Saccharomyces cerevisiae S288C: one gene and its partners. The gene in region 3 interacts genetically with the main gene of each other region. Each region holds a gene or a part of one and is shown on either strand. Other genes may lie near its edges.

Region 1 (4,909 bases), on a different chromosome or scaffold from region 3:
TTCATCTTCCTTCTATCATACCTAATATGGACAGTTATCCCTTGTTATTATCTATCTCCATGGTCGGAGCATTGTATGGGTTTCATTCGACGCATGCAAAAGTGTTAGCTAATGCAGCTAGCACCCAAATTAGGAAAAGCTTGAAAGTTAGTGAGAAAAACCCGGAGACGACAGAGTTATGGGTTATACAGACATTAGTATTGCTAACGTTCTACTGTATTTTCAATAAAAATACAGCCGTGATCAAGGGGATGCATGGTCAGTTGACGACTATTATTCGTCTCTTGAAGGCCTCTCGTTTAAATTTGCCCCTAGAGTCCCTATGCCAGCCGCCTATTGAGAGTGATCATATTATGGAATATGAAAACAGTCCTCATATGTTTTCAAAAATAAGAGAGCAATACAACGCGCCGAATCAAATGAACAAAAACTACCAATATTTTGTATTGGCGCAGTCACGTATCAGGACTTGCCATGCGGTATTACTTATATCTAACTTATTTTCTTCACTGGTAGGTGCTGATTGCTGTTTTCATTCAGTCGATTTAAAATGTGGTGTTCCATGCTATAAAGAAGAATTATATCAGTGCCGAAATTCCGATGAATGGTCGGACCTATTATGTCAATACAAAATAACGTTAGATTCGAAATTTTCGTTGATTGAATTGTCTAATGGTAACGAGGCATATGAAAATTGTTTGAGGTTTCTTTCTACAGGCGATAGTTTTTTTTACGGAAATGCTAGGGTTTCGTTAAGTACATGTCTATCATTGTTGATATCTATCCATGAGAAAATACTTATTGAAAGAAATAACGCAAGGATCAGTAATAACAACACCAATAGCAATAACATTGAGTTGGACGATATTGAGTGGAAGATGACTTCCAGACAACGGATCGATACAATGTTAAAATACTGGGAAAACCTTTATTTGAAAAATGGTGGCATCTTGACACCTACCGAGAATAGCATGTCAACAATAAACGCCAATCCAGCAATGAGGTTAATAATTCCGGTATATTTGTTTGCCAAAATGAGACGGTGTTTGGACCTGGCACATGTTATTGAGAAAATCTGGTTGAAAGATTGGTCCAATATGAATAAAGCTTTGGAGGAAGTTTGCTATGACATGGGTTCATTGAGGGAAGCTACCGAGTATGCACTGAATATGGTGGATGCGTGGACTTCATTTTTTACGTACATTAAACAGGGCAAGCGCAGAATTTTCAATACTCCTGTATTTGCGACCACATGTATGTTCACTGCAGTATTAGTGATTTCGGAATACATGAAATGTGTAGAGGATTGGGCACGCGGGTACAATGCCAACAACCCTAACTCAGCATTATTGGATTTTTCGGACCGTGTCTTATGGCTAAAAGCAGAAAGGATTTTGAGAAGATTACAAATGAACTTGATACCGAAGGAGTGTGATGTGTTGAAATCGTACACTGATTTCTTAAGATGGCAGGACAAGGATGCCCTAGATTTGTCAGCACTAAATGAAGAACAAGCACAAAGGGCCATGGACCCGAATACCGATATAAATGAGACAATTCAACTAATTGTAGCGGCAAGTCTATCCTCCAAATGTTTATATTTGGGTGTTCAAATATTGGGTGATGCGCCAATTTGGCCTATAATATTATCGTTCGCTCATGGTTTGCAATCAAGAGCTATCTATAGTGTTACGAAAAAAAGAAACACTAGAATATAAGTCCGATTTACAAATATATAATGGCGGCCGTCTCTATACTATAGTATTTACAGAATTAAAGCTTAGAACTATCATAACTTTCATAATATACCACCAGGCTTCAAAAAGGCATTGTTCCATTCGGAGTTTGCTTGAGTTTGATGGCCCGGGTAAAAAGGTTTGACAAGGCAAGGGGCCGTACTTATTAAAACAATTTCAACATGCACAATTAAGAATGTAAGAGATATATGAGAATGATACAGAGAGAGAGAAAGAGAGAGAAAGAGGAAGGTCAATTAAAGGAGAGAACTGTTGTTAATATGGCAGACCCTGATGACAATGAGGCCGAAGCCACTGGATTACAACAATATAGTGGCGAGACCACTCGCGATGACAATGAAGAAAGCATGAATGATTCTTTCACTTTAACATCCAGGAATAGAGGCAGAAGTAATACAATATCTAGTATTGTTAGTGGTTATGAAATAATGAAAGAACATATGGACAAGGAAAAGTTTATGTACTTGATTCTAGCGAGTCTCCTTTTGTACATGGGATTTGTTGCCGCATTTGCTCCCAGGACGTCTTTATCAAGAGACTTTCGGCGGTTTCACTCTTCCAGATTGACGAATGCAGAGGTTTATAGGATATACTTGAACTCCTTGCAACAGGAAAATAGAGCGAAAGAACATGTATACAAGTATGCTGGGTACATGAGCAACGGAGCAAGTGATTCGTCAACGTTTAAATATACCTTGGACGAGTTTCTAGATATGGGGTACAAACCCAAAGTTGAAAAATATTACCCATGGATAGGTGAACCAGTAGACACTAACGTAGCTCCTTTAGAAAATGGTAAAGTGGTCTACGAAGCAAGCATGATCGAGGATAGAGTTAAAGGTGATCCTGCTTCTCACGCTAGGAAAAGGCAAAAGGGTTTCCATCAATATTCAAAAAATGGAAGTGTAACTGCTCGATACGTGTTTTGCAATTATGGTAGCATCAGTGATTACAAGCTACTTTTGAAGAAAAACATTGATATTGAAGATAAAATCCACATCGTACGATCGGGTAAAATATTACCTGGATTAAAGGTAAAGAATGCAGAACTTTATGGCGCTTCCAGTGTCATTATATATACAGACCCATTTGACGATGGTAAAGTTACTGAGGAAAATGGGTTTTTACACTATCCTTATGGACCAGCAAGAAACCCAAGTTATATTAGGAGAGATTCTGTAAACTATTTCAGTGACACTCCAGGAGATCCGACAACTCCAGGGTATCCCTCCAAGGATTCCGACACTGAACATATGTCACCGGTAGGGAGAGTGCCGAGGATACCATCGGTGCCGATGAGTGCTAGAGATGTCCAACCAATTTTAGAAAGATTGAATGGCAGGGGTTTTCAAATTGGGCCCGGTAGTAATATAAAAGATTTTGGATCATTCACTGGACCTTCAAGCTCTATCGATAAAGTCCATTTGCATAATGAGCTAACTTACAACATCAAGGAAATGAGTAGTGTAGAGGTTAGTATCCCTGGTATATTCACTGAGGGGGAGATTATTATCGGAGCTCATAGGGATTCGCTCGCCTCGAGTAGCGCCGGTGATGCAAATAGTGGCAGCGCTATTCTTTTAGAAATTGCACGAGGAATGAGTAAATTACTTAAGCATGGTTGGAAGCCACTGCGTCCTATCAAACTAATAAGTTGGGATGGTGAACGATCCGGCCTTCTGGGATCTACAGATTATGCAGAAGCTCATGCTGCGATTCTCAGGAGAAGGGCCTTGGTATACCTAAATCTAGATAATGCAATCTCTGGGACAAATTTTCACTGTAAAGCCAACCCACTTTTACAAGACGTGATATACGAAGCTGCTAAGCTCACGGAATTTAATGGGCACGAAGACTGGTCATTGTTCGACCATTGGAAATACACTTCTAATGCCACTATTTCTCTACTTGATGGGTTGTCTAGTTACACTTCATTTCAGTACCATCTTGGAGTGCCCGCTGCACATTTTCAGTTTAATGCCAATGATACTTCAGGCGCAGTCTATCATAGTAACTCCGTATTCGATAGCCCAACTTGGTTGGAAAAATTTACCAATTCTGACTACAAGTTACACAACACCATGGCCATGTTTGTAGGTTTGACAACGCTGATGCTGAGTGAAAACGAACTGGCAAGATTCAATACACATGTTTACCTGAAGAAAATATATAACTGGTATATCGCATGGCACTCTAATCTATCTTCAGCATTTCCCCAGGACGATGAAGTGAACAGCTTAGCAAAAAGGGTTCTGGACTTATTAAAAGTTGCCACACAGGAAGATAGCATCCAATTTGACCAACAAAATGGTATTCTCTATAAAGAGTGTAGGGAAGCTTTACCTGTTTGGGCTTTTTACAAAAAAATCAAGAGCTATATTAAACTGCAACGATCCAATAGCAAATCAAAGCAAATTGATCAATTATTTATTACACACAGAGGACTGAAAGACAGGGAATGGATGAAGTACTCTCTTTTAGCACCTAGTAAGTTTGAGGGATCTGTCGGGGAAGTTTTGCCCGGCCTTCACGAAGGATTGGCTGATATTGATAGAAACGAGGTCATTCAGTGGTTAACCATTTTGCTAAGCCAATTCAGCAACGTTCGCTATTTACTTCAATAAGCATTTAAGTACCTCACCTCAGTATATACATTTATTTTATTTGCATACGTAGAGTGACTTTGAATAATAACCATGAGAGGCTTTTTTGTATATACTCTATAAACATGGCTTCAATTTCTTATACATGTCACACCGTACGTTGTGCGAGGTGATTAGGAAAAGTAAAAGGGGACTAGAAGAATCATGAAATGATTTGTAGATACAGTTATTTGAGGAAAGCAAAAATTACCAATTCAGGAAGGTGTAGGGACGTCGATAGGAGATCACATCGTTAATTAGTGTTAGGAAGAATGAGTTTAGAGGATACATTAGCCAACATGTCATTATATGACGCCAAGAAATATTTTCGTAAAGCTCAAAATGTTGTTTTCAATTATACTGAGATGGAGGGGAAAGTTCGTGAAGCGACAAACAACGAGCCTTGGGGTGCCTCATCCACTTTAATGGACCAGATTTCTCAAGGAACTTACAATTTCAGGGAAAGAGAAGAAATTTTGTCCATGATATTCAGAAGGTTCACTGAAAAGG
Region 2 (3,804 bases), on a different chromosome or scaffold from region 3:
CAAGCGAATCTAACCCAAGTGATGTTTCGAAAGGTATGTCCGAAATGATAGCTAACAGCTTCGTCTTGAACGCTTCATACACCTTTCTACACCAATTAACAAACTGTTCCTTCTCTAATGTGCTCTTTTTGGACGAAGGAAGGGTCAAGTCGCCGCGGGAAAACAGCTTTCTAAATATCTGGAATAGCGACATAACCAGAAATCTCAAATTTTTTTCTGTCTCATCTTCTTCCAATTGAGTAACATTTTCTGGAATCACTAGTTCATTGATTAACTTGATAATGGAGTTGTACTGCTTTCTGTCACCCGCAGCAGTCAGCCTCTTGGCAATATCTTTAATTTCTGATATAAGCAATACCATATTCTTTGACGTTTCTTTTTAATAGATCTCTCTTCATGGCAATAGAGGATGATAATTACATCTCATCTCATCTCATCAAAACCGTAATACACTTTTTTTTTTCTCAGTTGGAAAATTTTAGTGAAAAATTTCAAGAATAGCCCTAAACCTTCAAATACGAGGATTACCCGTAGAGAAGTGCTGAAAAACTTTTTTCTTTTTCTTTTTTTTCGATTTTCATTTAACAGGTATAAAAAGCGAAACACTCGGTACATATATTTTACCAAGACGCGTTAGATTTTCTTTGGAGGTTTCATTTAAAGAAACCAATGACCTTCCAAGTTTTTAAAAGAATACGATGATATTATTTGCGTTTCAAATCGAACAATTCTTCTCGGAGCGATCTGAGGTTTTAATGGAGATAGCGGTTCCTGCGCAACCCATTGATCTTGTTACATTCTTAAGAATGACAAGGACGCTTTTATAAAATTCTGATTCTTTTTTCTTTCATTCTTTTGTTGTTTTTGACTTGGGAGTAGTCATCTCATCTGTACACAAGTAGCTTTTTATATGTTCTTAAATTGTAGACTAGTCAAAACTTGTGTCCTTTAAACCGTGCCGAAACAGTTTTAAAGCGGACATCCAGGGAAACTTGCCGTTAACAATAAGTGACCTTGCATGGAAGACTGTCGATTGGTCTCTGTGGAAACCAGTGCATATCTAAATTAAATCTATTGTCATCACGAATGCCGCCCGTGTTCGTGCAACGTGAGCGCAAATACGCCTGGGGTCTGTCTTTCTGCGCTGGAAAGCACCTTCGGGCATCAACTACCGTTTCTTATCGCTGGCACTATCTATCCACCAATCACACGGCAGCAGTACTGCTGCCGTGGACGGCAAATTAGGTACAGGGCCTATGACTGTTATCATTTGGCAGGCTCAGACAGAGAGAGAGAGCACAAGGAAAAGAGCCTTAACTCATGTAACATTTGACTCATTCTGTAAACTGAAAATTTGCTGCCCACTCGAGATGACAAATAGTTCGTTCTTGAATTTATGCGCATTTATAGATACGCATATATAACCCTATAGTGAACGCCACTAGGAGACAGATTCTGTTTGGACCCTGATCGCATACTCTTCTTACCTTTACATAATAAAATAAGAAAAAGTATAACTTGCTTTACGCTAAGGATATAAATCGGACGTAACTTAAGATGTGTGGTATTTTCGCCGCTTTCAGGCACGAAGACGTGCATAGATATAAGCCAAAGGCTCTACAACTATCAAAAAGAATCAGACACCGTGGTCCAGATTGGTCCGGTAATGCTATCAAGAACTCCACTATATTTGTTCATGAAAGACTAGCCATTGTCGGTGTGGAATCCGGTGCTCAACCAATTACTTCTTCAGACGGAGAGTACATGCTATGTGTTAACGGTGAAATCTACAACCACATTCAATTAAGAGAAGAATGCGCAGACTACGAGTTTGGAACACTGAGTGACTGTGAGCCTATCATCCCAATGTACTTAAAGCACGATATCGACGCTCCTAAGTACTTGGATGGTATGTTTGCTTGGACTCTTTACGACGCTAAACAAGATCGTATTGTGGCAGCCAGAGACCCAATCGGTATTACGACATTATATATGGGACGCTCTTCCGCTTCTCCAAAGACCGTTTATTTTGCATCCGAACTAAAATGTTTGACTGACGACTGTGACACTATCACTGCATTCCCACCGGGCCACGTATACGATTCTAAGACTGACAAGATCACCCGTTACTTCACACCAGATTGGCTGGACGAAAAACGCATTCCTTCCACCCCAATAGATTACATGGCAATTAGACACTCCTTAGAAAAAGCCGTTAGAAAGAGATTAATGGCCGAAGTCCCATACGGTGTTCTATTGTCGGGTGGTTTGGACTCCTCTTTAATCGCTTCCATTGCTGCCCGTGAAACTGCAAAGGCCACTAACGATGTCGAACCATCAACTTACGATAGTAAGGCAAGACATCTAGCAGGTATCGACGATGACGGTAAGCTACACACTGCTGGTTGGACAAGTCTCCATTCCTTTGCCATCGGTTTACCAAATGCTCCAGATTTGCAAGCCGCAAGAAAGGTTGCCAAATTCATCGGCTCTATTCATCATGAACACACCTTTACATTACAAGAAGGTTTGGATGCTTTGGACGACGTGATCTACCATTTGGAAACTTACGACGTTACCACTATCAGAGCTTCCACTCCAATGTTCTTACTATCCAGAAAGATTAAGGCCCAAGGGGTCAAGATGGTTCTTTCCGGTGAAGGTTCCGATGAAATCTTCGGTGGTTATCTATATTTCGCACAAGCTCCTTCTGCGGCAGAATTTCACACTGAATCCGTGCAACGTGTCAAGAACTTGCATTTGGCAGATTGTTTGAGAGCTAACAAGTCTACGATGGCTTGGGGTCTAGAAGCTCGTGTTCCATTCTTAGACAGAGAATTTTTGCAATTGTGTATGAACATCGATCCAAATGAAAAGATGATTAAACCAAAGGAAGGACGTATTGAAAAGTACATTCTAAGGAAGGCATTCGACACCACAGGAGAACCAGATGCTAAGCCATATTTACCAGAAGAAATTTTATGGAGACAAAAAGAACAATTTTCCGACGGTGTTGGTTACTCCTGGATCGACGGATTAAAAGATACCGCCGAAGCAGTCATTTCAGATGAAATGTTTGCCAGTCCAAAGGCCGAATGGGGTAGTGACATTCCAACCACAAAAGAGGCTTTCTGGTACAGACTAAAATTCGATGCTTTGTTCCCTCAAAAGACCGTGGCTGACACCGTTATGAGATGGATTCCAAAGGCCGACTGGGGTTGTGCTGAAGATCCTTCTGGTAGATATGCCCAAATTCATGAAAAACATATCGAATAAATAACATTAAAAAATAGAAAAAGAATTATGGATTAATCTTATAGATATTTTTATAGAAAAACAAACACTAACAATAATAATAATAATAAATAGAATATAGAAATACATATTTTTCATAATAGTTTGATGAAGTTTTATTCATAAATCATTTTTTATCGCCAGTGCTAAAAAATTAAGTGTGTGGATGACTGTATATATGCGTATCGAACGATCTTGATGCAAATCATTTTGAAACATTATTCTTGACTTTGATATTTCCTATTATACATCCTCCTTCCTTGAGACCCAATAATCTTAAAAATGATGGAGACAGTGCATGCCCTCCTTTTCACCCTTCTTTTATGTCGTTTCTTACAATTTTCGAGATTCTTTTGAATCTGATCTCCTTTTACCTTGTGACTGAAGATTCCTAATCGAATTGCTCCTCTCTAGCGACGCCCTTTGTTTCATTTCGTGTGCAATTAGTAGATCGTGCCTTGTTATTACTGTATTCTTATTTCTTGATTTAATTTCCGCTCGATAGTTTTG
Region 3 (4,123 bases):
ACTTAGATAATGTTAAAAAAGAACTGGTCGATAAAGATGCCATTGGAATGTTCCAAATTAACGAGCCGTCGACATCGCCCTCTTGAAGTTCCAAGTTAACGTCTTGATCTTCATAAAATTTTTCTTTCATTTTTATGGCTTTACGCAAAGATTGGTCATTTTGCTCTTTCCTTAAACGGTAACGTTGAGAAGGAGTAAGTTGGGTTGTTTTATATGGTAATATTACAGAAGTACTATTGGAATGCACATACGGCGTTTTTGTGATCGGCATGAGTTTTGGTTCTTGGATAGTTGCGGTACTCATGCAATGATGTTTAAGAGGAGAGTCATTCTCGCTTATGAATGAAGTTTGTGATGCGGCTATACTGTTGGTTGTATTGCTCGATCCAGGCAGCCCTACTGTCCTGGAGAGTTTAGGAGTTGACACCGAATTTTGACGAGATGGAATGCATGTAGTTATGGTACTCATTGAGCAGATTGTTTTATCAGCGCTACTTGCTGTACGTGTTTTCTGTAGTATTGATCCCGGTCGGCTTTTCTTTAAGGGCGTAATATTGCTTCTATGGTCAGCTTCTCTCATACTTTTGAAGAAGCAGTTATCCTCCATCTTACTGTTTGCTATTTCACCCTCTTCTGAGCTTATATCTGATGTACATAAAGAATCAGATGTCGTATTTGAGTGCGATGAAGAAAATATCTCTGTGCTCGATGTACCTATAGAATCATCTGATATTGGCCTAATGCACTTCGCTGTGGGTACGTGTGGATTATTATTACCTAATACATTTTTAACAACATCTTGGCTAGCGAAATTGAAATCTAGGTTGGAGCTAGGGCGTCTTGTTCCAATATTCTTTCCGTTCGAACCTGTAGTGCTACTGGATGCACTACTGCCTGATCGGGATTTAGACAACGGAAGGCTGCAACTTTTGCGTTCGGTATATTCTGAAAGCATCAACTCCTTTGTGGAAAACTTCTTAGGTTGATTTTGTTTCAGATGCGTTGAGTCCTCCTCCTTTAAAGGGTCTAGCTTAGACGTATTAGGAACTATATTAATCAAACGACGTGCTGTCATACAATAAAATTGAATGTCACAGAAAGCTAAAGAGCTGAAGTAAAATAATGAAGCAAAGGTGGAAGCCCGAAAATAAAGTTAAAATTCAAAGCTTGTAACGAACGTATGAATGAAAGCACTAATTGAGAAAAAACTGAATTTTGTCAAAACAGCTCTATGTTTCAGAATGATAAAAAGGAGAGTTAAAAATACAATGGACAGTGGAATACAGCCAAATGCTCGATAGCTTTCGCAGAAACAGTACAATTAAAGATCAACACTTGTATTCTAATTATAGCAGGATCGATGTTACATCTCTTTTGCTCTCTAATCGGAGCTGAAAAAAAAAAAAAAAAGCGTATATAGTGATCTACGCTGATTAACATTATAGATTGCATAAAAGGGAAAAAGGAATTACATGAAGATCTATTCTGCGCGACACACTTTATTGGCGTACTGGCAAGAATGGGCTTTCAAATCTTCCAAGCGTTCACTTTAATGTTCTTATTGGCATGTTAAAATGTATATGCCGTGTCTATTCCCAGCCTTTGGCTCAAATGGTCACTTCACCGCTGTTTAAACATATGGGTAGCGCAGGGACATACACAATTCTACCTATTACAAATCTGCGCCATTTATCTACGAAAAACTGTCCATTGAAAATTAAATCAAATCGTTCAGAACCTTTGCAGTTTGGCGATTTTGAACGACAGGTGCCATGTTCTAGGAAGAGCGGATCTTCGAAAAATGTTCAGAAGCGTTTATACGAGCTCCGACAATTGAAAACTGTATTAAGTGAGACTTTTGGAGTAACTGAATACGCCTCTTTTTTTGAATCTCTACGAAATGCCCTGCATATAAATAATTGCTCAGAAAATGAAAAGAAGAAACTTTTATATGATATCATTTTGCATCAACACGAGTTATACCCAGAGGTGGCAAGAAAAATTGGATTTTATCTACCAGGTGAGGTCCACAGATGGTTCTGGTATCATATTCCAAAATCAGAATCTTTTAATCACTATCTTTTTCTTTTGAAAAGTGATGTTCTTCTCTTTACTTCTAACTACTGTACGAGATTTACCAATAGGCTGATAAAAGGAACTGAGATGGAGAGGCAGTTAGCCACGTTCCAAATATTTTTGCATGATGAGACAAACATAAAATTTATAATGGAAAAAGTTCTGAAGTTGCATACATTTGACAGCTTAATCGCTCTAGTAAATGGCCTTGTTAAGGCGAAAAATTTTAGGTTCATTAAAGTATTTATTCAAGCTCTACTACAGAAGTTGGAACAGCACTGTTATTCTGGTAAAGATGGAGCAAAGCAAAAGAACCTGCGTTATGTCAAGTTCAACAATACCTTACTTTATTACCTTTTGAAAAGTGGAAATGTTGAGTTATTCATCAAAACCTTTCAAGAGGAACTGAAATTCATTGTAAGCTCAGGATTGCTTAATCACATTGATGGAAACGAACACATATTGAATTTTCCCATTCACCACTACTTGAATCTGCTCCGAATATCTAATAGGCAGGAGGAGCTTTTCAATGTAATTTCCTGCTTACAAAGCAGCCCACTGATGAAATATAAATTGTTCAAGGAGTTTTTAATGGGTGAATTAATTGCATCTTTTCAAGCCTTTCGTGACCCGAAATTGGTGTGTAAATATCTCCTCTCATCATACAGCTCAAAGGCGTCTGCTAATATTCTGAATGCCCTAGGGATTTGGGGGTGGCTCTATCATTCAAAATCAACGACTTTGACAGCTCCTACGTTAGCAAGAGAGCTGAAGAACAAAAATAATATTCTACCGAACACAATGCGAATAGGATCACCAGTGACTGTTCCAATTTTAACTGAACTGTATAGAAGCCTTTTATCTTCGAGTTCTGTTTCACTGGAAAGTGGTCAATTCAAGAATTGTCTTCTTGATTTATATTACAAGTACAAGAGTTTTCTTTCCGAGGAAGCTCATAAATACAGGTATTGGAGAAATGATACCGGAATCCTCAATGTTTTCCTAAATTATATTAGATTCCAAGCTCGTGAACCAAGGCTGGCCTACAATGTTCTTCTGGATTTTTATTCTCAACCTTTCGCCAAAAAAGTGGTTTTAACTACCACGCTATGTCCCTTTTCCATAGTAGCCTATAAAAATCATACATTAACGCAGGCTGAACTATCAGAATTGCTACAGGTGATGCATAAAAATGGGGTGCCTTTAACGTTTAAATTTTGTTCTGCAATGGTAATGCATTATGTCAAAATGAGAGACGAAAAAGGAGCACGCTCCTGGTACAATAAGATACTCTTCGGGGGCTTTGAAATCAGGCATATGGCTTTGATACAGATAATAAAAGACCAAGGCTGGCCGTTTCCCAAAAACTTTGACGAAACTTTACTGACGGAATTGGTGGAAAATAATAACATTAAAGAACCTACTGATAGCACCCTGTTTACTGACGAAGATATGTTCGAAGAAGATGGCAAGCCTAGATTTAATGATGATGATGTTAATAAATGTACAAATATTATAAGAGAGACGTTGAAAAGTCTAAATTAATATCCAGATGAGCACTAGTAAATAGTAAATATTCATTCATAGATAGTAATTTACCCATAAGTTATTAATACCTACAAAGTTTTTTCATAAGTTTATGAATATGTCTTCTTGGCCCATGGTTACTTTATTACCTCTAATACCTTATTTACTTTCTCAAATAAATGAGCCCTTGGATTTCATTTACTGAGAATAAAAAAAAGTACCGTGCTCGGCAAAAATGCTCCAGGGGAGGTTCGAACTCTCGACCTTCAGATTATGAGACTGACGCTCTTCCTACTGAGCTACTGAAGCTTTGTTTTGTACAGACGTTACATCTCAGAATGGGATACGTCAGCATGACAATACATTATCCTGAACGTTCATAGAACACATATGAAACCTAAGAAAACGAACAGATTGAGCAACATGAGGTAAAACTCCGCCTTCTATAGCTGGGCTATCTAAACGTATAAATGCCTGAACAATTGGTTTATGAGAAATGGGTGTATTTTGAGAGACTTGT

The links. Genes that interact genetically often act in the same process or in processes that back each other up.
Region 1: mutations in ATP22 (region 3) and VPS70 together harm fitness more than expected from each alone (negative genetic interaction), as found in Saccharomyces cerevisiae (one large-scale study listed by BioGRID).
Region 2: mutations in ATP22 (region 3) and ASN1 together harm fitness more than expected from each alone (negative genetic interaction), as found in Saccharomyces cerevisiae (one large-scale study listed by BioGRID).

What each region holds. Positions count from the first base shown.
Region 1 is NC_001142.9:655,726-660,634, reverse strand, and holds VPS70 (putative zinc metalloprotease), read left to right. Parts: upstream 1-1,945; coding exon 1,946-4,381; downstream 4,382-4,909. Other genes in the region: RSF2 (Rsf2p), read left to right, coding at 1-1,718; ENT3 (Ent3p), read left to right, coding at 4,672-4,909. UniProt on the Saccharomyces cerevisiae protein: Involved in vacuolar protein sorting.
Region 2 is NC_001148.4:821,063-824,866, forward strand, and holds ASN1 (asparagine synthase (glutamine-hydrolyzing) 1), read left to right. Parts: upstream 1-1,557; coding exon 1,558-3,276; downstream 3,277-3,804. Other genes in the region: ribosome biosynthesis protein NOC4, read right to left, coding at 1-361; YPR145C-A (uncharacterized protein), read right to left, coding at 3,628-3,804.
Region 3 is NC_001136.10:1,175,618-1,179,740, reverse strand, and holds ATP22 (Atp22p), read left to right. Parts: upstream 1-1,566; coding exon 1,567-3,621; downstream 3,622-4,123. Other genes in the region: SBE2 (Sbe2p), read right to left, coding at 1-1,075. UniProt on the Saccharomyces cerevisiae protein: Translation factor specific for subunit 6 of the mitochondrial ATPase. Required for assembly of the CF(0) component of the ATPase.